Nothobranchius furzeri: one gene and its partners. The protein of the gene in region 4 interacts with the protein of the main gene of each other region in a biochemical or structural test. Links are inferred from orthologs where the notes say so. Each region holds a gene or a part of one and is shown on either strand. Other genes may lie near its edges. The genes, in order: ocrl, bicd1a, kif20a and ras-related protein Rab-6A.

Region 1 (6,731 bases), on a different chromosome or scaffold from region 4:
AAAACTCCAAACATAAAAAACTCATTTGTTTCCTTTCAGTGTCTGGTTTATGAAATGATGTGCCTAAAATGAGCCATTTCAAAAAGTCCCCGTTTGTGATGTCACAAACGAAGAAATTATAATAGAAGCACCTCTCATGTGAAAGAGAGCAGCTGCTGCTTGAGGAGCAGCGGCTCTACTTTAAGCCCCCTCCTAATGTTGGAGCTTCTTAGCTTTTAACAACCTGAGTAGGGGATGGGTGGGTGTGGCCAACTCCAGCGTCTTTTCTTAAAGTGACAGAGCCCTAAAACGGCTCATTCTGAAAGGTCCTGAAAATGTTAAAAATAAAACAGCTGAAATCAGTTGATGCAAGAGAAATTAAAAGCAAAGAATTACTGAAACATATTTCAACCATAGAGCTTTTATATCTTAAGAAAATAGTCGTAATATGTCCCCTTTAAGATTTTGTTCAAAAACTTAATTATTTCTGCTGTGGATACCTGTTTAATTCTAGGAGAAAATCTAAAATTGGGTTTTATGCAATTAACTTGCTGACAAATGTAAAAATATCTGTTTAAAACCAGTTTAACTATTCAAAAGCAAGAACACAAGTACTAATAAAACTAATTCGAACACATTTGATCTAATATCTAATGCAAGATTTGATTTCCAAGATAAGATTTGAGCCAATCTTGGAAAAATACGTGTGACCTGCACTGACCTGGCAGAGGCCCGGTACCGTCCTGCACACCGTGAACTCAAACCCACGTCTCTACTCCAGCTTTCATCCTCAAACAGCTTGCGGTAAGAAGACACCCTGAGCATTGCCATAATGTCTGATAGATTCAGGATAAAACACAACAGAAAAATGACGACAGCAGCTGTGTGGCAGGTTTTATAATCACGGGGAATGAGAATGTAGCAGAGAGGTGAAGCAGACCAACTATAGAACCATCATCAGCCAGGAGGGATTTCACTTGTTCCTGAGAAGTAAACTGTTAAATCCACAAGACCGTTGTTATGAAGACTTTCCAAAGGAAGTAAAGATAAAGACACACACCATGGCTCTGTACATTATTTTATTTCTTTAAATAAATTAAGAGTTCCAAAAATCTGCTAAGTGGAAAACATTTGTTTCACTGTCCTTCCAAACAGAAGTCCACACCAGGGTACAGCTGTGTGAACTAACACCTAAAATCAGAAGCTGTTGATTATATTTATGTTTCGTTTGCATCTATGAAGACAAAGTAAACAGATTTGCTGCAAAATGGTTTCTCCCAAATGTTTAATCATCAACAACACATACAAACTCACAGGCTCCAGCCATCTTTGGCAAATCTCAGCTTAAATACATCCAACAGAGGATTTTAGTGTGTTGACTTCAGGTAGACAAACGAAAATCCAAATAAGAAAATTAATTAAGGTCCTAGGAGGATTTTAACAACTTACTATAATCCTCAGCATTTTCATTTTCCATATTGTGGTGGCTTCATAAAATGAAATGCTTCTGGATTTCTAAACCATCAGCAAAAGAATCCTTCAGCTATTAATACGGTTAAATGAAGCAGGCAGGACAAATTGTGAAAACTAACTGCTGCATCTGTTGAGTCAAACGTTTAAAGAGGAAATATCCTGTAAACACAGCAGAAAGAGTTCCTTATTTCTATAACTGCGTGTGTTACATAACAGTAGCTACAGAAAACTTTAGAATCTGTGGTGCAGGTCAGAAAGAAGAGCAGACATGAGAAGAGCAATGATCCATGACATTGTGTTTAGTCTCCTCCTCAAAAATCCTGCAGCACTTAAGAGCTTTACACAGCACCAGGGCTGCACACAGGTGCAAGAAAAACACAGACAGATGAGTTTTCAGGTGTAGCGGATGTGAGGAAGAACACATGTAAACAAACAAACAGTACCGCCATCACAACAGACACCATCACAGGGTCAAACCACCACACAGTCACGAAACGTTGACTATTTACATAGTTTAAGACATGAAAAAATTAAAAACAACAAGAGGGTGGACCGCTTCTGATTCCGGTTAACCAGGGAATCAGTGTGTTAACTGACTTCTGCCATTACTCAAGAGGGTTTGACAAAACACTGAAAACATTTGCAGACACTTTTCTTTAAGTGGGTGGTAAAACTGATGTGGTTTTTAACTAATGTGGGTACAAAAACTCACCTAACGACAGCAAAAACAAAAAAATAAGAAAAGGAAAAAAAAACTGCTAAAATGGTGCAAACTTTGAAAAACACTTAAATAGCTGTTTAAAAAGTACAGATTCGTGAACTTAAAGTATCTTACTGTTGCAGCAACAAATGATTGTCATGATTTATCTAAAGCATAGAGATTCTCAGTGACAGGATGCTCTAAAACCACTTGAGGGTTTGAAACACGTACTTGCTCATACATTATTCTAACTAACTACAGCTTTAAGGACATACTATTCCTGTCTTTAGAGTAAGTAAATCTTTTGTTTAGCCTTTATGGGAAAGCTCCAAGAACTGAAATGTTGAATTTACTTAAGCAAGTTGTGTCAACACTAAACCTAATGTACATTACTCTACATTTTAGCGACGAGGTTTATTGGAACTAGCTGACATTACTTGGTTAAGTTAATGTCATTTATTACAGTGTACATAGTGTTATTGCATTCACAACTCTCACTACTGAGATTTTGGCATGAGCACCTAGAAGAGCTGAGAGCAAGGACCGGTCGGGGGGGTTACACATCCTTTATGTCATTAGAAAGTGCACAGGCCTCAGTTCAGACATCTTCTCCCAACAGTTTCCACATCCAGCATCGGGTCACCCCATGTACCAACTGAAGATATGACACAGTTTCAAATGAAAGTCTTCGGTACCTCAGATATCAGATGATCAAACGGAGGGTGCACTGGTCTCCAACAGATGACACAAAAATAAGTCTGAAACACTTAGTGCAACACAGGTCCGGGTCGACTGCCATGCTGAGAATCCGCTCCAGCCCTATCGGCACCACGGGGAATCCTCAGCCTTGGTTATTCCTCATCTCTCGCCATGAGGAAACCCAGAATGAAGTCGATGGCTTTTTGTCGATCATGTGACGTCTGCCTGCTCATCAGGTTAGGAGGTGGTCGAATGAGGAGACTGGCAAAGAGGGTAGCTGAAACGCAGGAATAAATATTATAGAATAGTTTTGTTTAATTCTGTAATGTAATAAATGAAAGTAATCGATTCTCATATTGATATGGTCATTTTAATAATAATAACCAGACTTTCTTTAATATACTTATTGCTTTAACGAACCTTTGATCTACTCTGCAGTGTGGTAGACAAATGAGACAAAAATGTCCAGTACTCACCAACAAGGCTAGCCGTTAGATTGTTATTGGTGGAGTGTTTGAGGAGTTCTCTCAGAAATGCCATCAGGTAGCGAAACACGTTGCGGTGAGCTCGAGGCAACTGGGAGATTAACTAAACATCAAAGCAGAAACATAAAACACCACTAAATTATTACAAATAGATCTCATCTAACTTTCACAGTACATGTTTGTGAAATGACTCCACCTGTTTGCAGAGGCGGCTGTCATGAGAACAGTCCAGGCACCGTTGGTAGAGTTCGTAACACAACACGGGCTCCGGCAGCGCCTCCAGGAAGATCAGCAGAGCCTCGGCTACAGAGTGGTTACAGCCAGCTACAGGAACAGTCAGGGAAGAGCCAGTTTTCATGGATTCCAGTGAGTCCACAACCACAAAACACAAATGTCATGTACTGTAATGTAGCATGAGTCATTTGGGTGTTGTGATTAGAGCTTAGATGTAACCTCTGGAGAATCTTGCATCACTTAAGATTAAACCCCAAGCTGGGCTTTCTTTATTATAAATTATGCTACCTGTTTTATTTTAATATCGGTTTGTGGTTTTTTATTTGGTTCAGCTCCTTGAGATTTTCAACAAAAATTAAATAAAGGACAAAATGCAATCATGTCTCTGGACTGGCTGAACAGTGGAGGATACGTAGGGAGTCTGGGATGCTGGTGTCAAGACAGTCAATGATGCTCTGCAGCTCCTCCTGTAAGCCTGGTGTCTGAAACAGGTCCTCCTGGAAACCAACAAGGAACATTTACACTAAATGCATTCTCACTCCAGTTGGCATCATCCACACATTCATTTCAGTCAAATTACATCACTATCTGGATTTCAATGCACAAAAATGTACCTCAGCCAAACCCTGGCTTTCCACTCAATGCTTAAGCACCGTGTAGTGTAACAGGCGCGTTTTTTGCATTTTTTTATTTTAAAAAAATTGAACATTTATTATGAAGACACTGGGTTTATGTTTACATCTACCAGCCATTAGAGGGCACTACTGCAGGTTGCCAAACAGTCTGCTCGGCACAGAGAGGCTGGCATTGTGGAAAATGGTGGACTCACCAAGTCAAACAAATGCTTCTGAGCCAAGAAGATTGTTGTCCTTCACAAAAGATCTAAAGCCCTTTCGCACTAGCATCAGCTCCACGTGGTCTGAATAGCATAGAGTGTTCGCATTAGCATAGCCTGCTTTTTTTCAGGGTGCAACCAGACTGTTTTTCAGCCCTCTTCCTGAGGTGGTCTGCTTCAGGATGATCAGGGCCAGCACACCCACTGCTAACTGATAAGCCGGCTCAAATTCACACCTTCCATTAGGAGAAGTGTCCGATTGGTGGGTAGAATCAGCCCACCTGGGCTTTGGGCATTATCATGCTGATTACCTAGGAGCTGAGAACTTCTCTGACTGCACTCCTTGCATTCTTAAGCAAGGATGTGTGGAATCAACTGGGCCAAGCTGGGCTGGGGCTGACTGGGGCTATTCGGGCGTTGTGGAGCCGATGTTAGTGTGAAAGAAGCATAAACCAGAGTGAGTTTAGGTGAAGCCTCCAATAAATAGACCCAAATACAACATTTCATGTATCAGCAGCAAAACTGGTATCCAGACGGCTGGAAATCTTGTTCTACTGCTGCAACTAAAATCTCCACACACTAGATGTCACATTGGTGTTTGTGTTCCATATTCCACCTTTAACTTCCTGTCTGGCCCAACCTAAACTGTTGAGCTTGACACGTTCTGGAAGCGCAGTGCATAAAAACTAGACCCAAAAGGTAAATTTTGCTGAGTGATGCTACACTTCTGGGATCCATCCACAAGTTGGAAACATACCCATATCTATAACAGCGGCTATTAGCTGCTTTTCAGATATTACACAACAAATATAAAGGAAAGGTCAGTCACAGTTCAGATAACGCATTCAGAAATCCTCATTTAAAAAAGGTTCATTCTGTGTGACAAATCTGTATAATCTAAATAAATGTTATCTTTGCTTTGTGTTATAGCCACATAGTGAAATATATGCACATTCAAACTTGTGATGCTTTGTTTCATCTGAAGAATGTGTTTTTTATAGAATGAACACAAAACCTTTGATTTAGTTTATTCTAATACCACATTATTACCACAAGTTCTGTGTCATGTATGAATTGCTGACATTTAAGTTAAGTACATACATTTTATTTATATACAAAAATAAATAGTAAATGCAAATAAAAATGTCACAAAAATAAAAGATAATTGAAGCTGAAAATGCCTTTATAAAACTATGGTTTTGTAAAAGCTGATTTAGCAATATGCTACATTCCTTTTTGGCTTTTTCAAATCGGTTTTAGTTTTCTCACCTGATCACAGGAGTTTTTGTAAAGGTGGTTAACCAGGACCCACACCTCCTTGGGGATCTTCAAAGGTATGTCGTCAGAACTTGCTCCATCAGCCATCAGAAAGGTCACCTTGGACTTTTCCTGATTAGCAGAAAATAATGTTTAACACAACTCTATTATGATCAAAATAATTATATAATGTTGCAGCATTGTGATTATACAACAAGATTCATGCAGTTTGACAAAAGTGTAAAAATAAACAATAAAAGGGGATCATGCGAACACTTATTGATGGAACAACAGCGAGGTCAAGTTAATCTCCGAGAGGGCTTGAATGTGAGCTGGGTATCAGGTTCTACTGGTTTCTGCAAATGAATCCTCGGCACTCAGGAGAGAGGTCCAAAAATAACTACAGCTACTCAAGCTGCTCATGAACACATGGAAAAATGGAGGGCACCATGAGGGCAATTATGTGGAGAATGGTATCACCAAAACAAGAATATGGAATACTTTACTCTATAAAATACACTGCTCAAAAAAATAAGACATCCTTGATCTGAATGAATGAAATATTCTTATTAAATAATTTGTTCTTTACAAAGTTGAATGTGCTGGTGACAAAATCACACAAAAATATTGAATGGAAATCAAATTTATCAACCCATGGAGGTCTGGATTTGGAGAAACTACAGGCTGATCCAACTTTGATGTAATGTCCTTAAAACAAGTTTAAATGAGGCTCAGTAGTGTGTGTGTGGCCTCTATGTGCCTGTGTGACCACCTTACAATGCCTGGATCTACTCCTGGTGAGGTGGTGGATGGTCTCCTGAGGGATCTCCTCTGAAACCTGCACTAAAGCATCCAGCGATTCCTGGACAGTCCGTGGTGCAACGTGGTGTGGGTGGATGGAGTGAGACATGATGTCCCAGGTGTTTCTATTAGATTCAGGTCTGGGGAATGGGCGGGCCAGACCATAGCATCAGTGCCTTCATCTTGCAGGAACTGCTGCACACTCCAGCCACATGAGGTCTAGCATGTCTTGCATTAGGAGGAACCCAGGGCCAACCATGCCAATGTT
Region 2 (8,599 bases), on a different chromosome or scaffold from region 4:
TGAGAATCCAGGGTGAGAGCTGGGTCAAAGGTCACGCCAAGATTCCTGACAGAGGGTTTGGTGTGAGAAGCAAGCTGACCAAGAGAGTCTCTGACTTTGGGAACCAGCTTGTCTGGGGCACAGATGAGGATCTCAGTCTTATCTTCATTCAGCTGAAGAAAGCTCCCACCATCCAGGTTCTGATAGAGTCTAAGCAGGTGTGTAACAGCTGCAGCTTAGACATCTCATGGGGCTTAAAGGAGATGTACAGTTGGATGTCATCTGCATAAAGATGGTGGGAGATTCCTTTGAAGGAGCTCAGGATGTGCTGAAGAGGAAGCAGATAGAGGAGGAAGAGCAGAGGCCCCAGCACAGAACCTTGTGGGACACCATGGGTAAGAGAGGTGGTGAAGGACCTAAACTTGGAGACGGCCACAGAGAAGGAGCGCTCAGAGAGATAAGAGGAGAACCACTCCAGAGCAGATCCTGATAGGCCTACCCAGTCTCTCAGCCTCTCCAGTAGCAGGTGATGGTCAACAGTGTCAAAGGCTGCAGTCAGGTCCAGCAGGACCAGAACAGAACAAGTAGCTTACCATCACTGGCAGTGTGTGAAAGCGTCTTTGGGTGTCTTGAAAAGCGCTACATAAGTTCAATGCATTATTATTATTATTAATTCACTGTGAAGGCATTCACTTCTGTCAGATGTCTTTGCATCAACATGTACAGTGTGAGCTGCATCATCCACAATAGAGAGCAGCTCAGCTCTGACATGATACTTGATCACCAAGCAGAGCAGAAATCAATGCATGATTACCACTTCACTGCAGGGGGATCAGAGGGGAGGAGGAAAAAGAGGGAGCGAGGTAACCGGAGATGGTGAGGTGAAGGTTTAGAGGAAAAAAGATGATGCATCGATTCAGCTTCTCCATGTTTATGGTTCTCCTTCCAACCCCACCTGCAACACAAGAGGAGCTGAAAGGAGACGGAGGAGGAGAGAAGAAACAACCTGTAATGGGTTCTTTCTCCCTAGTGACAGCAAACTGATTTACAGCCTCCCTGTGATGGCCTCAACCCACCGGGGTTCCCAGACACACATAAAGTGTCCTTTAATCAGACGTGGGTAAAAATAGCTAGGCGTCTACTCTTAATGTGTTAATCAGGTGTCCTATTTACAAAACGACCTTAAAGCACCACATCTGAGTTTTTTCAATGAGCAATTTCACATAAACATCTTCAGTCCTTCGGTCATTTGTCGTTTGTTCTCACGGTTTTGGAGCGCTCCAACTGAAGTGACGTCCTTTGCTTCAGCTGTCAGAAACATCGAACGTCTGTTTGCATGAGAACTTCATATTGAAAAGAACTGAAAACACGCACTATGACAGCTTTAAAAAAAGAAACCAAACATGAGCTCTAGAGAGAAACTGTTTTCCTTTAAAGGCTGGAACGCTTTTAAGATGCAGCTCAGACCACGAAACTTGTTCCAACCGCCTCCAGCAGCATCCTACTCTGTCCAGGGAGAGGTTGATCTGCCTGGAGACAGCGATAACCAGCCCGGACCAGGGGGATGGGGTGTTTCTGTCTCTGCTTAGGCAGCTATCCAGACACACACAGTGCGCACATGCTGGGATGCAAGAAATGAGAGCATGATTTGGCCATAAAGCCGAGAGCAAAAGAGATGGGAGTGAAGAGGAGAATCAACAATACAAAAGCACCATTTGAGCTTTCTGTTTTCAGCTGGGGCCCTGCAGGCAACAAAAAGATAAACAACATTTGCACGGACTAGGATTGAATGGTTTTGTTGGCGTGCCTCACATAACTCATAGAACCTGTTTCATAAAGCAGCTGAGTCACTCAGATGTGTCTCGGCCCCACCGTCTGGCATCTGGACAGAAACAGAACCAGTAGCACACACAGCAGCAGCATGAACGCTAAGGTAACTAGTTTACACCTGCAACTATGATGTCACACTGCGTGGTTGCTAAAAGATGAAGTCTTTTTGAAACAAAGAACAGCTCTCCTGCATTATGAGACGTGATATTCCCTCCCATCCCAAAGGTCATTCCATTTCCCATCTTCAGTTTGGATGAGGCACCTCTCCAGAGTGCAGGGAGAGCTGAAATGATGCTATTATAGTGGAAGGTTTGCTCGGGCATCCGCTCTCAAATCCATGGAAATATGTGACAGGCACTCAGACAGGCCGGCCGGCGGACACAGATCTGAGCAGAGGACAGACAAGAGGCTGAAGCTCAAGTCAGATATGAAAGGGATGAAAAGCAAAAACATGTTTTCTGTGAGTGAACGATGACTGACGGACATAAAAGTCCCTGTGTGGTGAAGACCATTGTGTCTCTTTACAGTCACCAAAGCCAGGGACTTTTTGTTGTTTTGTCTCATCTTGACAGCCTCTAACTCGAGTCTCTCTTCACTGCAAACCAAGACCAAAACTCAAAAATAAGCATGAAAACAGATCCACGTGAGAATCAGATGACGTATGAAAATAGTCATTTACTGTATGGCTATCATAGTTGCATAGAACAGTTGAAATCATGGCCTCGTGTTGTTAGTTTTGGGGTTTTAAATACTGTTTAGGATGCAAAGTTTCCAACAACACTTTAAAAAAGGGATTGAACATAAACGTCTGGGCCACATGGACCCAGGAGGAATCCAGTTCCTTAGATGAAAGATTAGTGAACAGACTTAACGAAGATCATTATTGGACAAGTAGGTCTGCTAATATTATTCAATAAATTAGAATAAGTGCAGCACAAGCACATGTGAGTGTGATTAACACAGGCACAAACATTTTAAATTCAGCCTGAAAACAAAAACAAAACTATTGTGCAATCTTCTGTTTTAGCTCCAAATAAATATTCATTTGAGCTGCATAAAAACATATTGACTATTTTTTAAATATTGCAATGATTTTGGTTACAACACCCACAGTTTCCTCTCTGTGTCTGGACACCTCTCACAACTCTACGTGCTTTAGTCCTTTGTGCAAACTGGGTGTGGACATCAACGGCAGTAAGCATCCGTTAGATCAACAAGCAAATGCAGGAAACTTGGAATAAAACATGCATGAACCTTACAAGCTAATATGAAGACGACTAATCAGACTCTCCATGATTGCATATGTGCGTCAACAGAACAGCAGAAATATTCAGCCAAACACAAATTTCCATTTATTTGAACAACCCTTCACAGCAACACTGATGCTTGTCCGTAAACACTGACGGGTCTCAGATGGAGCCTCAATGGCTTTTTGGCTCTGCATAACCTTGAACTGTGAGGCGTTGTCAGCATCAGCATCTTGTTACTATAAACAGATCCATGTCGCCATAATGAGTGAATGTAGCAATAAGCACACCCAGCATTCATTAGTCAGGATGACTCCCGCAGCACTTTTCTCCAGTGTAAACACACCAAACGTGACCGTTTCTCGGAAATAAATAAAATAAGCGTTTTGGCCTTGCATCCTTATTTATATTTGCACAAATATGAAGATCCAAACTGTTTTATTTTTATTTTTTAATAAATAATACGTAACATTAAGGATTTCCTAAAATGTACAAGTCTTCTAAATAGAAACAGCCTCTTGAGGTGAGGAGTTGCACAGAACAGCACATAAAATGTCATTTATTTCCCAGATAAAGTTGATATTTTTCTATATATAAATTATGTAATTAACCCTAACCCATTATATGATATAATGCATTATTGTGGTATCAGAGCGTTACCCCCTTCCAGCTGACACCGCTTCCTGCCTGCTCCTCCCTGGATGCCGCACCGCTTCACCCGCAGCCAGCCTGCCAAGAGAGGTCGCAGCTGGCCGCACTGCGCTTCCATCCTCTCACTGTCTGAAGTCGCTGGGATAAGGAGACCAACTCCTACCTCCTGTAACTGCTCCAGCTCCTTCCGGAGAGTCTCCTGGTCCGTTTCTAGCTCTGCATACTTCTGCTTCAGCGCCTGGTTCTCCTCCAGGACTGCCAGACCGCACTCCGCAGCCCGGATCTTCTCCCGGTTGGCTTCGGCCAGCTCGTGCGTGAGCCTCTCGACGTCGGCCCGGTACTGATCCACCGATTCCCCGCGCCCCGCACCGGCAGCCATCGCCTCCCCCCCCTTTCTCGCAGGCTTTTGGATCTGGACCTCCTGCAGGTCTGCGGTCCTCCCCGGTCACTCGTCTCGGGCGGAGACAGAACCAGTGAGAGGAAGAGAGGGAGAGACGGGCGGAGGCTGAGAGATGCTGAGTATCCGCCCTCCTCCTCCTCCTCCCCCTCCTCCTCCTCCTCCTCCTCCTCCTCCTCCTCCTCCCCCTCCACCTCCTCCTCCTCCTCCTCCTCCTCCTCCCCCTCCTCCACCTCCTCCTCCTCCTCCTCCCCCTCCTCCCCCTCCTCCCCCTCCACCTCCTCCTCCCCCTCCACCTCCTCCTCCTCCTCCTCCTCCTCCCCCGGAGAGTGAAGAGAAGCAACTAAAACCAAAATTATTTGGGTTTAATCAGAAAAGAAATGACGTGAAACAGATGAAACCTTCAAAATCAAAACAAGGTCAACCTTTTTTCTGACACAGCAAATAATTTCTGCATATTCAGGGGTCAAAGGGCGCCACCCTCTGGTTACATTTGTAAAAATAAAGCTTTGTTTTTATTTGCACCAAAGACTTTATTGGCACAAATTACATTCATTTAAAGACCAAATTTTACGACCTGGCTTTTAGACAGAGACTCGTTTTATTGTTTTAATGTGTTTCTTATTGTTCTTATTGTTTTTATCTCTAATGTTCAGTATTTTTATCCTCATTGCTTTTGCCTTCATTCGGTTTTAATCGATCTGCAGCACTTTGGGCAGCTCCCAGGCTGTATTTTAAATGTGGTATAGAGATAAACTGGTATTGTATTTCTGGTGCTGAAGGCATGCTTGTAAAATAGCAAACATGCACATAAAACAAGTCAGCTGCATGGATGATGATCAGATCTTTTATTAAAAAAAGAAGCTGGTATGTCATTTCCCTGGTAACCCTCACAGCTGTCTGTAATCACTATCAGCACACCTGCCCTTCCTCTCACCTTCCTCATGTATTTTACCCCCTGCTGTGGTACTCAGCCTGTTTTTGTAGTTTGTGTCATTCCCTGTACTGATCTTATAGTTATTTAAAACTTAAGTTACCTGCTTGCCCACTGCTCACTTGCATCCTCATCTCCACACCTTGATAGAAACTCAGTGATAAAAATTATAGAGGTTTGTGCACTGTAAAAAAGACAGCCTCATAAAGTAGTTTCAATTTATTTTTCCTATTTCACTTAAGTCTCCCTGATAAGTTTTAGTTGTTAAACTCAGTTTTGTGTGTTTTGATATTGAAAACTTAAAAGTGCTTGTTATTTCAACAGATGATGGTATTTTCCTCATTCTTGTGCGTTGTCAACTTAAAACTGCAATTTGTAGATATGCCCCCGCCCACTGTTTCAGTGCATAAACACCATTTGAGGTGCTTATACACATTTATTGTGGGCGGTTGTGTTGTTCTTAGTTTTTGCTTTGTTTAGCGTTCCAACGGTGGAGTTATTTGTTGTTGTCATGTTGGCACTGAAAGTGAGGAGGGTGGTCGTAGGAATAAGATCGTTATGCCGTTTCACAAAACTGCACTTAAAGTTGTAGTTGTTGCTAAATGCTCAGGACTCAGCTCCTCGTGTGTGTGTGTGAGGCGTGAGTTAGCCGGCATGTTTCAGTGTTGTTAGCTTCCTGCTTCAGCGTTTGCCTGTATTAAACCCTAACCCTGGCAGCGGCCGTTTTGATAACATGAGTTCAAACATTTCATCCATTTGTTCAGTTAACACAAACTTTTAATTTGAAAGGACAACCATACATGTCTAACTCTAATTTATAAGTTAACATAATGTAGAATTGTGTGTATGTTTAACAAGACAAAATGATTTTTCCACGTTGTAACCTAACAAGATTTGTTGTTTCGACTCACAATATAATATTCAAACAAAGCATCGTTATTATTTACTTTATTATTTACAACTTGACAGAAAGAGTTGAAATAAAGTGTTTATTTAAGTTGACATGACTCAAGTTTTTAAGGCAGCTGTTGAACTTTAGTTTTTAAGTTATTCTGGCCAACAGTTTATTACAGTGTGACATAAACAGCACAGTTCATCAAAACATTCAATATTAGGCATCACATTTATTACACTATTTTACGTAATGGTTACAAAAAACTTGGAACAAAAATTCAACCACTGTCTGGCAGAAAACTCCCTTCGTCTTTATTTTCCCAGCATGACTTTAAAGCAACACTGACCAAAGTTTCTAAAGTTACATCAAGATGAATTTTTATGCTGCAATAAGAAAAAATCCTCGACCTCGGTCAGCACGTTGGGTTATAAAATAACAGATAAACATAAACCTTCACTGTTTCCAATTACAAAATCTCCTTTTACATTATAACTTAAACAACATTCATTTGAGACTATAGCATCCTTTAATCCAAATGAGCATTTGGAGCATTGTGGCCTTTTTACCCTCCCACTGTCCTAATGGGTGACCCCGCGAGGAAGGTTGACCATTGAGCAGGATTGCTGGTTTCTCCCTTGAGGTCCACGTGGCAGGGGTGAGGTGGTGCTCACTCCTCACCCCGCGGGGTCACACCCATTAGGACAGTGGGAGGGTTAAAGTGTAAATGTAAAGTTTTAAGGTTTAGAATGAAATTTTGTTCCATTAAAGGGTTAAAAGCTTGTTTCAGTAATTATGCCAGGATTTTGTTTGGTGGGTAGGCCCGCATGGTAACATGTTATTCATAAAAGGTACATGCAACTTTTTAACACAGAGAAATACCAGCAATGCCCACTTTTCCATAAAGTTGTGGTTTTTTTGGCCAAGCGTTTGTGTTGCTTCCCACCACCTACTGTATTTTTGTCTGCTCAGACACGCCCGTGCAGCTGCAGTAACACGTATCACCCGTGCAATAAAAGGTGATATGAGCGGGGTGAAAAGTTGAACCGTCCTCTCAGCTCTGTAATCAGTTATGGTCCTGTCAAATCAGTTGTTAAATTGATGTTGAAGGTGGTGTTTCACTATCTTTCTTAGAAGTGGTCATTATTTAAAAATTGGCTCATGCAAGAGTTTGTTAACAAAAGGTAGGTTTTACAGAGAAGAAGCTGAATTTAACACATCCAACTGCATTAAAATGTAAAACATAACACAATCGGATATTCTTTATTTTATGGTGAATGCTCAGGTAAACAGTTAGCATTAGCTTATATTTCCCCCTTTGAACTGATTTGTTAAGGCTCAGCTGACCTGTGAGTAACCTCGGTTTACAAATCCAAATTAAGATAAGGAGAGGTGGTCAGAAAGTCAACCAGATGAACTTTTCATGGCACGGCTCTATCTTATCTCCTACAAGGAAGTGTGGTGTCATGAAAAAAAAAGCCTAAATATGCTCTGCAATAACACAGTGTCTACCGGCGGGCACGGCGTGTGCCTTCAAATCCTGATATGTACAAATAAATCAAAGCAGACTTATCAAAAGGTTTTAATGGTTTAAAGAAAGCCAGAGAAAGGGTTTAAAGGTTGGTTTTAATTCCTGAATGGAAACAAATCCCCTGCTTGCTGATGAGCAGCAATATTGGAGTTTATCAACACTGTGTACCGTATTTGACAATTAAAGTTTTTCACAGATTAAAGCTTGCTGCTCAACCACAGAAACTCGTTAGGATCAATTCATCACGTCTGATGAGAAAACAATCCACTAACAAAGCCAGATAGTCAGGGAGCTATCGTTTTGTCCCCAACCTGTCAAAACACTGAGTCCTGTGACCTGGGGAATGTGTGTAAGTCAGCAGAAGCGGTGTTGATGCGGGTCTGAAGAAAAGCCTCGACTGAAACGGTTCAGGTGAGACACGTGGCAGCCAGTGTAAGGCCTCCTGGAAGAGCAGGCAAAGGATAAAACAGTGACATGCTGGATTGGTAAAGTTTGAATCTGTGTGACATTACCTCCCGATAAAGCAGGTGGTGATGGTTTGAATGTAAGCGCTGTCTGCTCATCTGCTCCATTTCCTTTACAGTCTCAGTTTTTCTCCATTTAGCTCTGCGGTTCTGGAACCAAATCTGACTCACGACAAAACGTTTAGTAAAAAATCAGTTTGATCAGAATAAATCAGCTGACTGCATCATTTTTAAAAGCCTAACAATAAAAATTTAAACTCACAAAATTTCCAAAACCCTCAATTAACCCAATGTGGCAACGTAGTTTATGTTTTTAAATGATCATGCCGCAAACATTATTTTGGGAATTTTCTTGTATTTCCTTTTTATCTTTTATCTGTGTTCGACATGTTTGTATAACGCCTGTTTAATTAACTAACATTTTTAGTGTACAGCGCCTTGTTTGGTTGTAATGCCTTGTGAATGCGCTTTATAAATAAAATTGGAATGGATTGGATTGGATGATCATGCCGCAAACATTATAATAAACAGATGTTTTATTTATTCACCATCAGTGGGAAAAGCAACAAAAAGTGTTCAAATAGTTGACATAAAATAAAAATTGTCTTCATATGTGTGTAAAAATTCAAAGTTTTTATTAAGTATTTCAATTTTACTTTATTAAGAAAAAATAC
Region 3 (7,872 bases), about 2.7 Mb from region 4:
GTATTTAACAAGTGTGATGTGTGCTTTCAGACTAGTGATGGGATTTGTGGCTTTATCATGGGAGCCGTTCATTAGTCGGTCGTTTACGTCAAAGAGCCGTTCAAAAGACTGGCTCCTTTGAACGAAGTGAAGCCAAGAGAGGGGGATCAATAGCACTGTCTTCCTGCAGTGTCTGTGAGGGCGCACGGGGTTGATTAACGTTCCTCCCACAGATATGCATGTAAACACTTGTCTATATACATATCCATGGTTCCTCCTACATCCGTCACAGCAGTGGGTGGGGTTTGAGGGGGTGAGTTTGACCGACTTCCGGGGAGGTTTGTTAAGATGAACGGCTCTCTGCAGGGACTCGGCTCTCATCATTCACTTTGAAAACCCTTTCAAAAGATTCGATTAGTTCGTGAACGTCACATCACTATTTCAGACAGTTTTTAATCAGCATTTTTGTCACTAGGCGCCACTAAAACACACAGATTGGTCCTTAAACATGATAATTCACAACAGAAAATATGAATACAATATAATTATTTAGACAAAACAATACTCTGAAGTGTCAGCTGGTTTTCTGAGTGTTCAAGTGCTTAAGAAATGTATTTTTTGCATGCTTCTATGTGCAGATAGAAATGTGTGCCAGACAAAAAAAAAAACTGTTAGAAATGCTGTTATTGGCACTGGGGAATCAAACTTGTGTGTTTTCCTGTTTGGTTCTACACGAATCACCACATGCCCTTCTGAGCTGCTCTTTCCAGAACTGCGCTGCTCTGGGTGGCTGCATGTTGGAGTAGCTCTGTTGACTATATGCAAGTTTAGCCTTTTCTTGGACATTTTTTCTTCTAGTTTCTCAAGAAAAACAGTATTTATTTATTTTTTTATATTTTACTTTTCTGTTTCTGGTGCTGTGAAGCTTGGAGGATTTTTACTATTTTTTCACTTTTTGAGCATTTGTTATGTGTAACCATGGCAGCTAGCTGGTTTACAATCGGGAGCAGCTGATTAACATTGGAAAGGCTGAAATAATACCTCAACTGAAGCCACAAATCCCAAATGAGCTAAAAAGCAAGAAGCGTGGGTGCAGAGCGGGAGCAAAACGGAGATAGAGGAAATTCAAACCATCTCTTCCATCAATCATAATGGGCAATGTGAGATCACTGGCCAACAAGATGGAGGAACTCCAAGCCCTTTCAAGGACTCACCCAGAGGCCTGTGCAGAGCAGCTCTGTGGGATTCTGCAGCACCTCTTCAACCTCAGCCTGGCCCAGGAGAAGGTTCCAGGCCTGTGGAAGACATCCTGCCTTGTTCCAGTTCCAAAGAAAACTCGCTCATCAGTTAATGACGACTACAGACCGGTTCCCCTGACATCCCACATCATGAAGGTCCTGGAAAGATTCCTGTTGGTCCACCTGAATAAGCAAACTAGGACATATCAGGCCCCGCTGCAGTTTGCTTATCGCCATGAGTTGGAGTTGAAGATGCCATCATCCAGCTGCTTCAACCAATCCACTGTCATCTGGACAAAGCAGGCAGCACTGTGAGCGTCATGTTGTTTGATTTCTCCAGTGCATTTAACACACTCCAGCCTGATGTACTTTGCCAGAAACTCCAGAAGACACAGGTGGGGGCCTCAACTATCACCTGGATCAAAGACTACCTGACAAACAGACCACAGTTTGTGAGGCTGAAGAACTGCACATCAAACCAGGCGATCAGTAACATTGGAGCACCACAGGGGACTGTACTCTCACATTCCTTTTTACCCTGTACACCTCAGACTTCCAGTACAAATCAGAGACCTGTCATCTACAGAAATACTCGGATGACTCTGCAGTTGTCAGGTGTATCAGAGATGGACAGGAAGCTGAGTACAGAGAGCTGGTGGAGCGCTTTGTGGCATGGTGTGGAAACAATCATCTGACCTTGAACATGAACAAAACATAGGAGATGATTTTAGACTTCAGAAGAAACAGGGTGGAGTCAAACACTGTTTCCATCATGGGAGAAGAACTGGAGGTGGTTGAGGAACACAAATACCTTGGAGTTCACCTGGACAACAGACTGGACTGGAGAAAGAACAGCGAAGCCGTTTACAAGAATGGACACAGCAGACTGCACTTCTTGGGGACGCTTGGGTCCTTCAATGTCTGTAGCAAGATGCTCCAGATCTTCTACAAATCTGTTGTTGAGAGTGTAATCTCTTCAGCCATCGTCTGTTGGGGTAGCAGCATCAGAAGCAGGGACCTGAAAATGCTCAACAGCCTAATAACAAAGGCTGGTTCTGTTCTGGGGACGACTGTGGAACCGCTGGAGGAGATAATGCAAGGAAGGATTCTCCAGAGAATCAAGAAAATGATGGACAACCCTGAGCATTCTCTTCACAAGACTGTCCGACAACGGAAGAGTGTCTTCAGTCAGAGGCTTCTTCAGTTTCGCTGCAACACTGACCGCTACTGGAGATCCTTCCTGCCAACAGCCATTGTAATATACAACAACTCTTTGATGACTTGATTATTATTATTATTCTGAGCTACTACAGCAATCAATTTCCCTCTGGGATTAATAAAGTATTTTTGAATTGAATAATCAGTCACTTTGACACATATTCACACTTGTTTCATACTGATAGCATTTTCTTTTGCAGTAGAGCATGGCACTGCCCCTGTCTTCCCCGTGTGGATACCCTTTTGAGGAGGAGGAGGAGGAATTACCTGTGTTTGAGTCTACGGTAGCAGAGAACGGCGGGCTGAGCAGACCACGTCTGCCTGAGATATCTGTCATTTCCCCTGGCCTGGACGGTCAGCCACCCCTCACAAGCCAGGTGAGATGGACGAACATACATTAATTCAATTCAGTTTATTTATATAGCGCCAAATCATTACAGTCGTCTCAAGGCACTTCCCAAAGTAATCATTCCAATACAGGTCAGTTCATTAAGCCAATCAGTAAAAAGTTTCCTTTATAAGGAACCAAGCAGATCACATCAAGTCACTGACTAGTGTCAGAGTCTTTACAGCAGTCCTCATGCTAAGCAAGCATGCAGCGACAGTGGGGAGGAAAACTCCCTTTTAACAGGAAGAAACCTCCAGACGATCCTGGCTCAGTATAAGCAGCCATCCGCCCTGACTCACTGGGGATCGAGAAGACAGAGCGCACACACACACACACACCATGTATACCAAGGCAAAAAGCAAAAAGAAGGCAGGAGCACTCAAAGTGACAAAAATGTGTCGAGTTTCTGACGAAGACACAAGCGGGTGTCAAAATTAGCCTTTTTTGTGACGTATTTAGTCACCGAGTGCTCCGGGCTTCTTTTTGCTTTTTTAACACATCATTGTTCTTCGCTGTGGAACATCAACTGGTTACTGTAATATGCACAGAGGATCTCAGAAGTAACATATATACCAAGTACTGTCTCTATGGCTACATTGTGATTTCTTAGTATATATTCTATTTAGTAAAATAAACTTTATTGTCTTTATCCTAGTGACTCTATAATTAACTCAACTGGTGAACTAGTAGTAGCACTTTGTATGTTAAAGAAAGTGAAATGTTATTATCGGGAGATGGAGAATGTTAAAGGGGTTATGTCGTAACAAAACCATTAAATGATGAAACAATAAATCTGTTAATAATTTTATGTTAAATCAGAATGTAGCAGCGAAACCCGGAGACCGTGACGACAGGAACTCAGAGAAGGTGAAGGTTTTTCTGCGTATTCGTCCACTCACTGATTCAGAAAGAGAGAAAGGAGAAGAGCAGGTGAGACGGTGAAGTTATCTTAATGTAACTATCAACTGAGTTTTTAGTTCTCTGCATATATTTGTTGCTGTTTGTGTAAGATTCACTCGTCTTTCAGGGTTGTGTGATGGTCCAAGATGAGGAGACTCTGCTGCTCAAAGCTCCACAGGAGTCTCAGAACATGAGGGCAGCAGAGAGAGGCGTCTCTCAGAGCATCCACAAGTTCAGCTTCTCCAAGGTAAAAAAGCCACAGCTTTACCGGATGCTTGGGAACATTTATTCCCTAATATGAACGTATGTTTAAGATGAATAACATCCTAGTATGTTTATTTACAATCAGTCCACAACAGTTGACCCAGATAGGTTTATTTATGTTTACATTTGTAATATTTTTACAGATTTTTGGTCCGGAGACGACTCAGCAGCAGTTTTACGAGGACACGATGAAGAAGATGGTAACCGATGTTCTTAAAGGAGAGAACAGACTCCTCTACACTTATGGTGTCACCAACTCTGGGAAGACTTACACCATCCAAGGTAGGAGGTGTGGTGTTTGTTGTCAGCTCCGTGATGTGGATGTTTCTACATGATGATCTGACATTTAATGATTTAACCTTAAACATCAACCTTGGACCTGCAGGCAGCGGTCGAGAGACGGGCCTCCTGCCCCGGGCTTTAGTGTCTCTGTTCAGGAAGCTGCAGGGGCGTCTCTATGGCGCCCTGGACCTGAAGCCAGTCATGTGTCAGGATGTGAGGCAGCTCAGCTCCAGTGAGATTAAGATGGAGGAAATACACAGAGACTCTCTTCTGAAAGAGGTAAACACAAAACATCCTTATAGTCCTGAGGAAGACTTTATTTATTTCATTTGCATAATCTTTACCTGTTTTTATGAGTTTAGAGTGAAGTTTGGCTTCTGGTCTGCAAATGAAAGTCCCCAGATGAAAACCGTCTGAATCCATGTTTCACAATGACTTGGCTTATTTTATCAACACTTAAAAGGAATGCATAAAATGCCAAATGGTTGCTCCGAAATACCACTCAGTTCTGCAGCTCTTGAGCTGCAGAAAGATGCAGCTTTAGACGACAGCTAGGTTGAAGGGAATGTTTCTGGAGAGCGGGACTGCAGCCTGTCCAACTCCGTCATCGGGACCGAGTTTTCAGCGGCAAACACAAAGTATTCAAAGCCCACGCGGAGGATTTTCTCGGGACTTGGGGAAACAACAACAGCGAAGAGGATTAACTTTTGCTGAATGCCGTTTTTAAACACTTCTCCCCAAAAGAATTCACTCGAGTGAAAGGTAACAAAGCTGGACTCGTGTTTCATTTGTGTTTTTACAGGATGGGAATCTTTCTTCTCGCCGCGCCGGAACCACGACAGTCTGGGACAGTGGCATCGGAGGACTCTCTACAACTAGCTTCACCACTCAGCCTGAAGGTGAGGCGTTAATCAGACTAAGAAAAGCATCAACCGTTCTGTTAGCCAAAGATTTCATTCCCAGCTCCCCGTCGGTCCCGTTTGCACTTGTATAAAAACATAACTAGAGTTTAAGTCTCAGCTGTGTAACTGATGTGTGTGTGTGTGTGTGTGTGTGTAGATGCTAACACCGTGTGTCTGGAGCCGGACAGTCTGTCCCTCAGTGGGGGGGTGGACCTGGAAGAAGGGGTTCAGTTTTCCATCTGGGTGTCCTTCTATGAGATCTACAACGAGTTCCTTTACGACCTGCTGGAAGCTTCGCCCTCCCAGCAACCCCGAAAGCGAGCGACGCTGCGTCTGAGTGACGACAAGCAGGGCAACCCCTACGTCAAAGGTAATTCAGACTCTTTGCTCCTCTAGTGCAACTGCTTTGGGGCTCTTCTTGGAGAATGGTTTCCATTGATTTCACTTTTATTTGGACACAATACTTGCTACTTTTATAATTTCCTTCTGCTACATCAGATCTGACCTGGATCCAAGTCCGCAGCGCCGAGGAAGCTTGGAGGATTCTGAAGGCTGGACGTCGTAGCCAGAGCTTCGCCAGCACCCACCTGAACCTAAACTCCAGCAGGAGGTGGGCAAACATTAAACTTTTGCTTTGGGAAAACATGTTTAGCAGAAAAGTTACAGATAATTGGCTCGTGATTGGAACTGGCCGGTATTCACGATGATCAGCTTAATGGGTGATTGGCAGATCTGAAGTAAAAAAAATGGCTTTATTATGTTTTGGTCCAGGATTACACCTTTGTGATGCAGCCATACAGACTTGGGAAGTTTCCTGGTGGGTGAACCCGCCATCACCGAGTGCTGAGTCGTGTTAACGATATTTCTAAAGTTGTTGATTTCAAACAGCTCTTTGAGACTAACCAGAATCAGAGTTAAGCTGCACAAAAATAGGAAATCGTTATCGGCCCTAGAAACCAGAATCGGTGCATCTCCGGTATTTAGTCGGACTTTTTGCGTTGCTCATTGTAAAATCATTTCTGATTTTAGCCACAGCGTCTTCTCAGTCCGTGTGCTGCATGTCCGCCCAGAGGCCGCTTCAGGTCAGGCCATGCACATCAGCGAGTAAGTTTACCCTTTATTACTGTAAACTTCACCTGTTTTACTGTAAAAAGTCCTGAAGCTAAGCTCCGTCTGCCCGGCAGACTGACTGTGTGTGATCTGGCCGGGTCTGAGCGCTGTAAGGAGCAGCGTAACGGTGAGCGGATGAAGGAGGCCAACAACATCAACACCTCCCTCCTGACACTGGGGCGCTGCATCGCTGCCTTAAGGCACAACCAGAACAAGTATGCTCCGAACCCGGATGGTTATGCAGTATAATAAAAAAATGCAGTTTCTAAAATCTCCTGGAACTTTTTTAACTCGTCTGCAGGTTGCGACCCCCTCAGGTGGTGCCCTTCAGGGACAGTAAACTGACCCGGGTTCTGCAGGGATTCTTCTGTGGCCGAGGGACCTCCTGCATGGTGGTCAACATTAATCCGTGTGCATCCATCTACGATGAGACCCTCCAGGCACTAAAGTTCTCTGCTATCGCTACCCAGGTAAAAACAAAACACTCCCACACGCCATTAACTTCTGAGTTCAGAGATGAGGCATGTTGTCATTTCAGCTCGTCCACGGCCCGTCCACAAAGACCAGAGTGGCCTACATCCTGTCGCTACTGTGCGAGCCGGCGGCTAACCGTGATGGAAGCACAGTGATGGAGGAAGAAGAGGAGGAAAGTGATGTTGAAGATGGAGATATCACGTTGTTGAATATGGAGGTGTGTTTGAGTTTGCAGACGCGGGATCTCGTAGTGCTTTGTGCACGTTTGGATAAATGCAAACATTCAAGATAAACATGAGTTCAAGGTGCATTTCCATCTACAGCGAGTTGTTCTAACACCCGGTTGTACGTTATTAAGACTCTGCTGCAGGTCATCGATGTGCTGAAGAGAGAAGTGCGCCGCCAGCGAGTGGAGAAGGAAGTCCTGGAGGCTAATGTGAGGGAGGAGGTGGTCTCGGAGGTGATGGTGGTCATGTCTGACATGCGGAAAGGATTCAAGTATGTGTGCTTGGTTTTGTTCTTGCTCTAATGTACGCAGAACCTGCCGTGGCATCATGTTTTAGATGCTTCTGAACTAAATAGTAAACACACAGCTGATCGTCAAGCGAGAAACAAGAGTGACCTGTTTGACATTAAGATGCTAGTCTGTCTTCTTGTCCTGAAGCGAGTCCTTGGAGGCTGAAAGGGCCATAATGGAGGAGAGATGTGAGGACAGGATAGCTAATCTGCAGAAACACCTGAAGATGTTCTACAGCCAGCAGCTTCAGGTGAGGGTTTGGACTTCTTTAAAGCTTTTGTAAGGTCTTCTCTCTAATCCTATCAAAGGTTTGAGGAGAACCTGCTTCCTGTGTTTCTGTAGGAGCGTGATGAAGAGATCAAGGAGTTATCCACTGCCCTTGAACAGGAAAAGAGGAAGCACGAGTCTGTGCCGTCCACGGCCTCTCCTGTGGACTCGGAAGGCCCTCGGCGCTCTCACCGCCTCATGTCTCAGGCCGAACCGAGGCTGCACGCCGAGCTCGATCAGTGTCGCGCTGAACTTGATCAGTGTCGCTCGCAGCTTTTCACAAAGACCCAAGGTCTGGCTGCATGATGCTTTGTGTTCTAGTGTTGGGATGCA
Region 4 (8,394 bases):
TGACGAGCCAGGAGTCACCACGAACAGCACACAAACACCCCGGGACACGCACAATCCACCAGACATTAAAACAAACAAAAGGAGAAAAACACAAAAACACACTGTGATTAAACTGAAGCACATCAACAAGCCGTGCTCCTCCCTGCTGCTACTGCCACCTTACCTCAGACCAAAAGCCTCCCAGCCATCTTTAATATTTGTGGCTTCTACATGCAGCTCTAATGCTTGTGAACGCACCCCCAGAAAACCCCTGAGCAAAAGGAGGATTCTCCTTTAAGGAGATAAAGTTGATCACACTGTGCCAAAAATGCTCAAAACTACATCAGACTTCTGCTCTAAAGTCACCTACATTTATTAAAAAAAAAAAGATTATAAACCAACTGACTGTAAAGCTTGTTAATAAAAAAAAAAGTCTAAAGAAAACTATGAATATGAATGTGCACGCCAATGGAGTCAGAGAATAATTTACATGCTAGTCAAATTAAAACAACGCAACAACATCTGTGGGAAATAAAACATTATTTGAGTGGATAAAAGTTTAATTGAACTTGTTATTTAAATAAAATTCCTTCACTATTTTCTGGTCATGATCAGGTTTTTGCTGTTTAGGTTAATAAAGGAGAGCTTGGTACAAATGTTCATTTCTAACCCTAAATCAACAATTCTAAAAGGTATCAAAATTCCCTGAAAACCAAGACAGGAAATGAAAAACAATCTCACAGCTATTTGCACAACTTTGATTAAAACTCCTTTGTTATTTAAGTTGACTTCTTCATCTGGTCTGATCGGAGCGGGAGACTTTTGGTCCTGAAGCTCGGTGTGCAGCGTCTGCAGCAGGACTACAGAGCACGGCTCACACACATCCTTACCTGCTTGACATTGTAGCCTGCTTTCGCACTAGTCTCAATAAACATTACATTTAGTTCTTTGGCTTTCCGCTCACCCTCTTCAATAGATACTTGCCTGTGGTAGATAAGGAAGTTAAAAGATGCAACAAAAAAAGAAACAGGAAGACCGAAAGCATCAACTAGACAGACGTAAATCAGAAAACAATCATCACAAATGACATCAACGAAGAGAAGAGAGAACTTGTTCCGCTGCAGATCGGCTGGTGGTAGGCTGGTGTTTAAATGGAAGCAGTGATTTGAGCTGGTTTAAAACTTACCTTTTGTCTGCAAGATCTGTCTTGTTTCCCACCAACATAATAATGACATCACTTCCTCTCTCCGTTCTCACATCATCGATCCACTTTGTAGTTTGCTGGAAAGAGTTGACATCTAAAAGGAAACCAAACAGGAAGCAGAGCATCACTACTCAGGAAGAGAAAGCCTAAAAATCAAAGGAATGAGCGACAAGAAGACATTACAATAACAGCGGATGTATGAGGATGTGTTTTATTTCCAGATGTGGCATCACCTACTTGTGATGTCGTAAACTACGACAGCAGCAGCCGAGTCTCTGATGTAACTTGGGATCAGGCTGCGAAATCGCTCCTGCCCCGCCGTGTCCCACAGCTGCAACCGAATCTGTAGGGCAGGAAGAGGATGGAACAAAGAATAAAGAAATAAAATCTAATAAAACAGAGACAATGGAATAAATAAAAAAAAAAGACAAACAAGCTAAGTTTATGTGATGACAAGCAAACTGAAAGAAGAACAAATAAAGTATGGCTGAAGGGAAAACAGAGACAGAGGGAGTAGTGCATGCAGGTAGAAAAGCTGTCTGGGCCTGGAGGGGAAAGAAAAAGTCACCCTTCACTCGTCAGGGTAAAGTTTTCTGTTTTAAAATGTGATGATGGATTAATGCAGAGGTGGGAAGAAGAGGGAGAAAACTTGGTACAAACAGTGAAGCTAAATGGCACCATAATCACATTAGAGAGAAAAACCAGCCCTGAGTGTGTGTGTGTGTTTGGTGGAGAAAACACACAGATTCTTTACCAACCCAAACCCTACAGGAGATGAAAATAAACTTACTGTTCTGTCTTCGAGGTACATGGTCTTTGAAAGGAAATCTATTCCTATTGTTGCCTGACAACAAATGGGGAAAATTACCTTTAGTCAGCATCAATCAGCATAATTATAATCAAAGAATAGGTGAACTCACCTGATATGTGTTATCAAAGCTGTCATACATAAACCGGGTGATCAATGAAGTCTTTCCCACTGAAACACAAACAAAGGACTAAATATTTCAAAATGACCAAAATAAAAGTTTTTGACAAATATTGAACATAAGTTCATTGATTAAAAACATCAGAATATTTATGAAACCAAATTAAAATAAATGAATCGAGTTTTCTTCCACAAGAAAACACAATGATGACCTAAAGCCCAAAAGAAAATGACACGTTGTCACAAATGTAATAAAATTACAGCTTCAAGTTTTTGTTCACATTTCATAAATTAAAAGTTATTAAAGTAACATCTGGCATATGTAAACAATTCATAAAGTACTTTATATACTATAAATAAAATTTTATTGTTAATATCTTGATGTTACTTTTTATTGTTAGATCTACAGTGAAGCACTTTGTGAATTTTATTTCTGTGAACGGCGCTGTATAAGTAAAGGTTGAGTGGAGTATACTGTATATCTGGGGTATTTTTGTGGAGAACATTTGCTGCTGAGTGGATTCATGTTGGTTTGAGATCTGGGGCTGAGCTCCTCGGCCTCAGACCGTTTCTGTGTCGAGCTCGAGTTACAATATCGGTTACAGCGTGCATCAAGTGACGGTGACACAGCTGAAGCCAACACAGCAGCAAGGACCAACCGCTGATTACAGATGAGCAAACACAATATCTGTCTGCCTTATCTGGATGAGTCCCATTAAAGGCTGTGCCACGTGGAAATAAATGTACCGAATGATAAGGAAAGGTCAGATTTTGTAGAATGTCTTGTTCTCACCCTAAAGGAAAGTGAGTGTTGCAGTGAAGACCATCAGACATACCAAAGAAAAAGGCTCTCTAAGGGCTTGTGTGTACATTCAAATTCAAAAATGCTTTATGAATCCCAAAGGGAAATTAGAGATTAGAGGGAAATTTGTTTGCAGCTCATTCCTTTGATGATTTGAGTTTATTCGGAAAATCTACATGGTAGGGCTGCACGATATTAGGGAAACCTGCAATATTCGATATCAGTGATTAATATTGCGATGACGATATTACTTTCGATAAATAAAAACTTAATTCAGGAACAAAAATAATCAAAAACAAAGAAATAAAAAAATCATAAAAATGAGAAACGCAAAAGATGTGAGGAAAAGGAAAAAGAAAACGATCAAGAAAAGGCGATCAGTGGATCCCGGGAAAGGCAGAATCAGCAGAAAGAGCAGAAAAAAGCTAACTGTGTTTGCTAACCATTAAAATTATGTGCCGTTTGCCTCGGGGGCGGGCACCTAAACTATGAGATCCCACCTGATTGGCCAAATGGGTGAAGAGCTCTTTTTGATTTGTTTAAAAAAACATCATGTTTCTGATTGACAGAACACATTATGTGAAGCAAACATTTGAGCTGACCATTCAATGCGATATTTTTATGTTCTTTGCGATATGCATATTGCTCATGCTGATATCGCGATAACGATATATTTACGATATATTGTGCAGCCCTAATATATGGCTATATTATTCATTCCCAGAAAGTAATGCAAAGCAGACTGGACCGTGAACATGGGATGAAGCATTTAAATGTGTTAAAAACTTAAAAATAAGAACATTTTTGATAATAAAAGGACCTAAATTTTCATAGAGGTTAACAAGAAACATAAGAAGCCATCATTTGTTTGACATCGTCTTTTTCCTGCATAAATTCATCTCCAGAAAGGTTTTATATCAGAAACATATTCATGATTATAAAAAAAAGAAAGCTTTTACATGAAGTTCTGTTATAATGGGTCACCAACAGCTTGCATAAGAACAGAAAAGACTTGGTTCAGCTAAACCAAACCAACCTGAAACCCCAAATTAAGCTCACACAGTGGTGTTTTAGCTAAAGCTTGAGGGAAATACATGTACTTAACCTAATAACAGCACTACACTGTTCAGAGTACCGCAAACATCTTTCAGTTTTGGGGCAGATTGTTTGTGAACCCTGACTGGAACAAAGGTCAATGGGGGAGTGTAGGAATGTGACCAGGCAGGTTTGGATTATGGTAAGTGCCCCAAGGGTAGGAAAAAAGATGATGAATGTAATCATTGTTACGTTTACACACTAAAGCTGGGAATGCTAGTTAATAAACAATGATAAAACACTGTAGCAGCGTCATAAAGGAAAGTATTTATAATCAAACCGAACGTTTTACTACTTTTGCCACTTAAAACTGACCCGTGTTCTTCTAAATGAAACTTCATACGTCACTGACGCTGGTATTCGAGCCCACTGCGGTTAGTGACCTGGTGAACAAGTCCATTTCCACGATCATGAGTCATCTAGGTGAGAGTGAACGCCGGAGCCAGCGTGGACAAGACGACATCAACTGTGTCGCAATTTAACAAGTATTACGATTTGCAGCTAATGTTAGCAGGCTAACTGACTGGCGTTAAACACCGGAGTAACTCAACTATACATCCTAAGGAAACCAAGTTTAAATATAGTTAAGTTTTTATTTCTCCCAGCCAGTGAGAAACTTACCACTCTGTTCCCCAAGAAAGACCAGTTTAAATTTTCTTAAAGGGTTTCCGAAGTCTCCGGCCGTAGACATGACTGGATCAAACGAACCCGACAATCCTCTTCAGAAACTCTCCAGCTAGCCTGCTAAATGATAGCTAAGCAGCTGTTCTCACTATTTAAAGGTCCGGAATTCGTGTGCCAGCCTTTAAACCTGTCCACTTGTTGATGTGTGCTGTTCTGTAACCACCCCTCTTAGCGTTAATATACTATTTTACAACTCTGTGACTACTACTACCAAGTTAGCCTCAGTCCAGCAGATCAGCGAACTACACCGGGCCACTTCTTCTTCGCGCCGTATTTGCTGTTACAGCCGAACCGTTATGCTGCCATCTAGCGGTGAAACAAAAACAAACAACAATGACAACTGAAAACAATTCAACAGCAAGAAGATGATAGCTGGATTATACCATGCAGAATACGGATTTATTATGATTACATTCATATATAATTTCTAGATTAACTGTAGAATTTAAACAAATCTGGAAACGTAAAACATGGGTTTCGTGTTGGACACATGTTTTATGTTCATATGTCCACAAGAGGGCGGGCTCACACCACTGCAGACATTTCACACACTAAGCAATTTAGATTTTAATCTAATTATTATGAGCTGTTCTGAAGAACCTGGTCTGTCCTGTGGTTGTGTTTATCACCACGGTATGATACAGTCTCCATAAGTTTATTCTTTAATAAATTTTAGTCAACAAATCTGTCTCAACTATTTTCTTGCAAATTTTGCTATTTCATCCTAGTTACACCTAATGTTTTCAGTTTAATTTGCTCAAGTTAATTTGATGAGGTAAATACAAAGACTAGGAAAACGAGCAAGATCTGTGCTGCAAATAGTGCTTTTAACAAAAATGCTAATTAGCAACACTTGGGTCACTAATTGGGGTCAAAGGAGACCTAAAGGTTAGATCAAAAATTTAAATTACAATATATTTTGGAAGAGAGTGCATTATTTTGGTGTGCACTTTTCTGATCATCAGCCTTGTTGATGCTTGAATAATGTCACTTGTCTTTGCTCAGGGTGGACTATTTTGAGACATCACTGCAGGATTAACATGTGTGGTTTTATAGTCACTATAGTGATGGCAGCACTTGCTGGCAGCCTTTCAACATAAAATCAACTGGCATTAATTATTTGGCATTAACAAAAATTAGATCACGTTTAACAGGATGTAGGTGTGATAGTAGAACTTTGTGGAGCCGGCTTTGTCTGACACGTTTTTAAACTGTCATCTGATTCTGTTGTTTACAGGAGCCTTTACAGCTGGTGACCTCCAGCTTGTAGGACGACAGCTGTTATGAAGCCCTCTGGCAATTTACAAGGTGACTCTCTTTAGCTCCCTATGCAGAGATGGGTGTCAGAGTGAAAGTACAAGTTTCATTTTGTTGCAAATGTTCATAAAAATGGGTCTGATTCTTGTTTAATTCATGCAATTGGCCTCGCAAGAAAAGCAGAACTGCATTCCCATCCTGCAGCTGGTTCACACAGCACTTCTAAATGGAATGCAGCCCTTGTTAACACACCTGTGCTCTCCTGAAACTCAACACAACTCTCATTCATTAACAATCATTTTTGATATCCTCATTTCCTCCCTTGTTACAACACGTCATGAACGTTTTAGAGGTCAGAACACTAATCAAAGTCCCTTCATGGCCTTTGTAATGTTTCAGAGTAGGAGATGTTGTAATTTAGTGAGATTACACAACCTTAAAAGGGAAATCAACATTTGACTTGAAAAAATGTAAAAATATCCAAATTCTGGATCCCTACAGTGGAGTTAAAGTCTGCGGTATTTTTGTGCCTGCTTTAGCTAACCCTTCTAGGTCACTGAAGAGAAGACACACACCTGCGCCCCTTCTCATTCATGTCCCATTCCCGGAGTGCCGTTTGGCTGATGCCAGCGCTTCAGCTGCTCTGCTTCTGCCAAACCAAAGCCATCACACTCCACTGATCCCCCTCTTTGCTTTAGCACTCCTACGCCTTATGTCCTTGGTAAGGAAAATACCCCCACCCCTCCTTTCCACAGTCCCCCTGCTGAAGATGCTGATCTGGCAAAATCTCGGTAGATCTATGTCCCCCCCAGTCTCTCTTCATCTTTACCGCGTTCACATTTGGAGGGAAGGTTATGGAAAATGGCTTCACTTCATCATTTTTCTTTGAGAATCCACTTTAATATAATTTTGAATTTTCCATAAAAGCTCAAGGACATGCTCTGTAGCCAGGACTTCACATTGCTGTGCTGCACCCTGCGTCGTTTACTTCTGCAGAACTTGGCTCAGCGTCCTGAAAGGGAAAGCCTTATTACTATGACTCACATCTCGGGAAGCAACTTTGTGATTCTTTCTTTAGTTTAATCACCCTCTCCCCTGGGCTTTAGTGGAAGGAATGCAGATGTATTTGTCTTGCGGCTGTGAGTGTGTTGACTGCACACCGTACGTTTGCCTGCATCTGTGGGCGTAATGGTGGAGGACCAGCATACTTCCTCTCAACCTTAACATAAATCCAATGAATGCAGCTTTCAATGTCACTGCAAAGTACAATACATTGCTCATTTCTCCTGAGAGGGAGCGAGAGAGAGCATGGAGGCTTGCATGTAGGGTGGGTGGGGGAACTGAGAAACACGATGAGAGGAAATACAGAAAGGGCATTAAGGTTGGGTGAGGATCAAATAGGTGTGTTTTTGTACTCAGTACAGTAAGATAGACAAAGGTGAGGAGATAAATAGTGGATGTGATGGAAGAGTTCCTCTGATTCTCCTCCAGGAGGTTAAAAGAGGAAGAGATCATTTGAAGTGAACATGAAACACGGCTGAGGTCCCGGAACAAAGGGTTGCTGAGACACGCCAGGAGGTGCGGTTAGATCTCAGATTCGCCCTGTTCAGCGTCAGCCTGAGACAGGTGCAGCAGTACAGCAGGAGGGAGTCTTGCAAGCATAAGTGAAGCAGCGATCAGGGTAGCAATCCAAGCACATTTACCAGAGGAGGCGAGAAGACGAAAGGGAGGGAGTGAAAGAGGGAGAGAGATGAGAGGGAGCAGATCTCTGAGATGATGGGGAGGGAGGAGGGAGGGGGGTGTTGCATGCTCACAGAGTGTGACAGAGATAGAGCGATGAGCGAGGAAGAGGCACAGGGACAGAGAGGAGAGCACAGAGCTCTGAGAGCAGAGATGGGGACCGACCATTGAGACAGAGGTAGCTGGCAGGACTGAGATCCAAACAAACCGGAACGGGGGAGAGAGGGGAAGGAGGAAGAGAACGGAGGTGGAGCGAGAGAGAGAGAGGGGGGAGGCAGAAAGGGGGATGCTGGATGATGGAGCCCAGAAATAGGTTTTACAGGACAGCTTTTCATCCCTGCTCCCTGCAGCAGACATGACTCTGGGCATCGGAGTGTGCTGAAATCTGCCAGTAGGACGAAAGAGGACAGCAGGTCTGCAGCAAAGTGCTTTGGTTAATTCTCGCTGGATGCAGCAAGGCAGCTGATTTATTACTGAGGACCTGGATGGCAGCATGTTTGTGCACGCGGCTCTGAGCGTATGTATGTGTGTGCAGGTTTTTACAGGTCTGTGTAGTGCTCGGAGCTCCGAGAGAGCAACCATTCCTCCAGTCATGAAGTGACATTTAGCAGGCAGGAGCTTTGTGTGCTGGTCTGGATCTGCAGTCCTCTGTAGGAAGTGGGAGAGAGGGATTCAGAGCTGTCGCTGTGTGAAAGTGTGTGTGTG

Evidence for each region.
Region 1: the proteins of ras-related protein Rab-6A (region 4) and ocrl form a complex in vitro, tested with the Homo sapiens proteins (2 studies listed by BioGRID and IntAct, with this or other methods). The link is inferred for Nothobranchius furzeri from reciprocal best matches to the Homo sapiens genes RAB6A and OCRL.
Region 2: the proteins of ras-related protein Rab-6A (region 4) and bicd1a form a complex in vitro, tested with the Homo sapiens proteins (3 studies listed by BioGRID). The link is inferred for Nothobranchius furzeri from reciprocal best matches to the Homo sapiens genes RAB6A and BICD1.
Region 3: the proteins of ras-related protein Rab-6A (region 4) and kif20a form a complex in vitro, tested with the Homo sapiens proteins (2 studies listed by BioGRID). The link is inferred for Nothobranchius furzeri from reciprocal best matches to the Homo sapiens genes RAB6A and KIF20A.

The regions. Positions count from the first base shown.
Region 1 is NC_091741.1:85,266,740-85,273,470, reverse strand, and holds the end of ocrl (inositol polyphosphate 5-phosphatase OCRL), read right to left. Parts: intron 5,795-6,731; coding exon 5,675-5,794; intron 4,068-5,674; coding exon 3,983-4,067; intron 3,661-3,982; coding exon 3,533-3,660; intron 3,440-3,532; coding exon 3,328-3,439; intron 3,129-3,327; coding exon 3,004-3,128; 3' UTR 2,787-3,003; downstream 1-2,786. Other genes in the region: vimr2 (vimentin), read right to left, coding at 701-810. UniProt on the Homo sapiens protein: Catalyzes the hydrolysis of the 5-position phosphate of phosphatidylinositol 4,5-bisphosphate (PtdIns(4,5)P2) and phosphatidylinositol-3,4,5-bisphosphate (PtdIns(3,4,5)P3), with the greatest catalytic activity towards PtdIns(4,5)P2.
Region 2 is NC_091744.1:88,313,909-88,322,507, forward strand, and holds the start of bicd1a (protein bicaudal D homolog 1), read right to left. Parts: upstream 4,184-8,599; 5' UTR 4,087-4,183; coding exon 3,871-4,086; intron 1-3,870. Other genes in the region: intestine-specific homeobox-like, read right to left, coding at 7,754-7,903, 7,974-8,087. UniProt on the Homo sapiens protein: Regulates coat complex coatomer protein I (COPI)-independent Golgi-endoplasmic reticulum transport by recruiting the dynein-dynactin motor complex.
Region 3 is NC_091750.1:46,178,062-46,185,933, forward strand, and holds part of kif20a (kinesin-like protein KIF20A), read left to right. Parts: intron 1-2,635; 5' UTR 2,636-2,641; coding exon 2,642-2,812; intron 2,813-3,642; coding exon 3,643-3,753; intron 3,754-3,850; coding exon 3,851-3,970; intron 3,971-4,130; coding exon 4,131-4,269; intron 4,270-4,372; coding exon 4,373-4,548; intron 4,549-5,071; coding exon 5,072-5,168; intron 5,169-5,328; coding exon 5,329-5,541; intron 5,542-5,669; coding exon 5,670-5,781; intron 5,782-6,200; coding exon 6,201-6,275; intron 6,276-6,355; coding exon 6,356-6,496; intron 6,497-6,582; coding exon 6,583-6,751; intron 6,752-6,819; coding exon 6,820-6,972; intron 6,973-7,113; coding exon 7,114-7,253; intron 7,254-7,419; coding exon 7,420-7,522; intron 7,523-7,614; coding exon 7,615-7,831; intron 7,832-7,872. UniProt on the Homo sapiens protein: Mitotic kinesin required for chromosome passenger complex (CPC)-mediated cytokinesis. Following phosphorylation by PLK1, involved in recruitment of PLK1 to the central spindle. Interacts with guanosine triphosphate (GTP)-bound forms of RAB6A and RAB6B.
Region 4 is NC_091750.1:48,852,313-48,860,706, reverse strand, and holds the start of ras-related protein Rab-6A, read right to left. Parts: upstream 4,975-8,394; 5' UTR 4,700-4,974; coding exon 4,630-4,699; intron 2,163-4,629; coding exon 2,104-2,162; intron 2,028-2,103; coding exon 1,974-2,027; intron 1,527-1,973; coding exon 1,421-1,526; intron 1,278-1,420; coding exon 1,166-1,277; intron 964-1,165; coding exon of another isoform or gene 870-963; intron 1-869. UniProt on the Homo sapiens protein: The small GTPases Rab are key regulators of intracellular membrane trafficking, from the formation of transport vesicles to their fusion with membranes.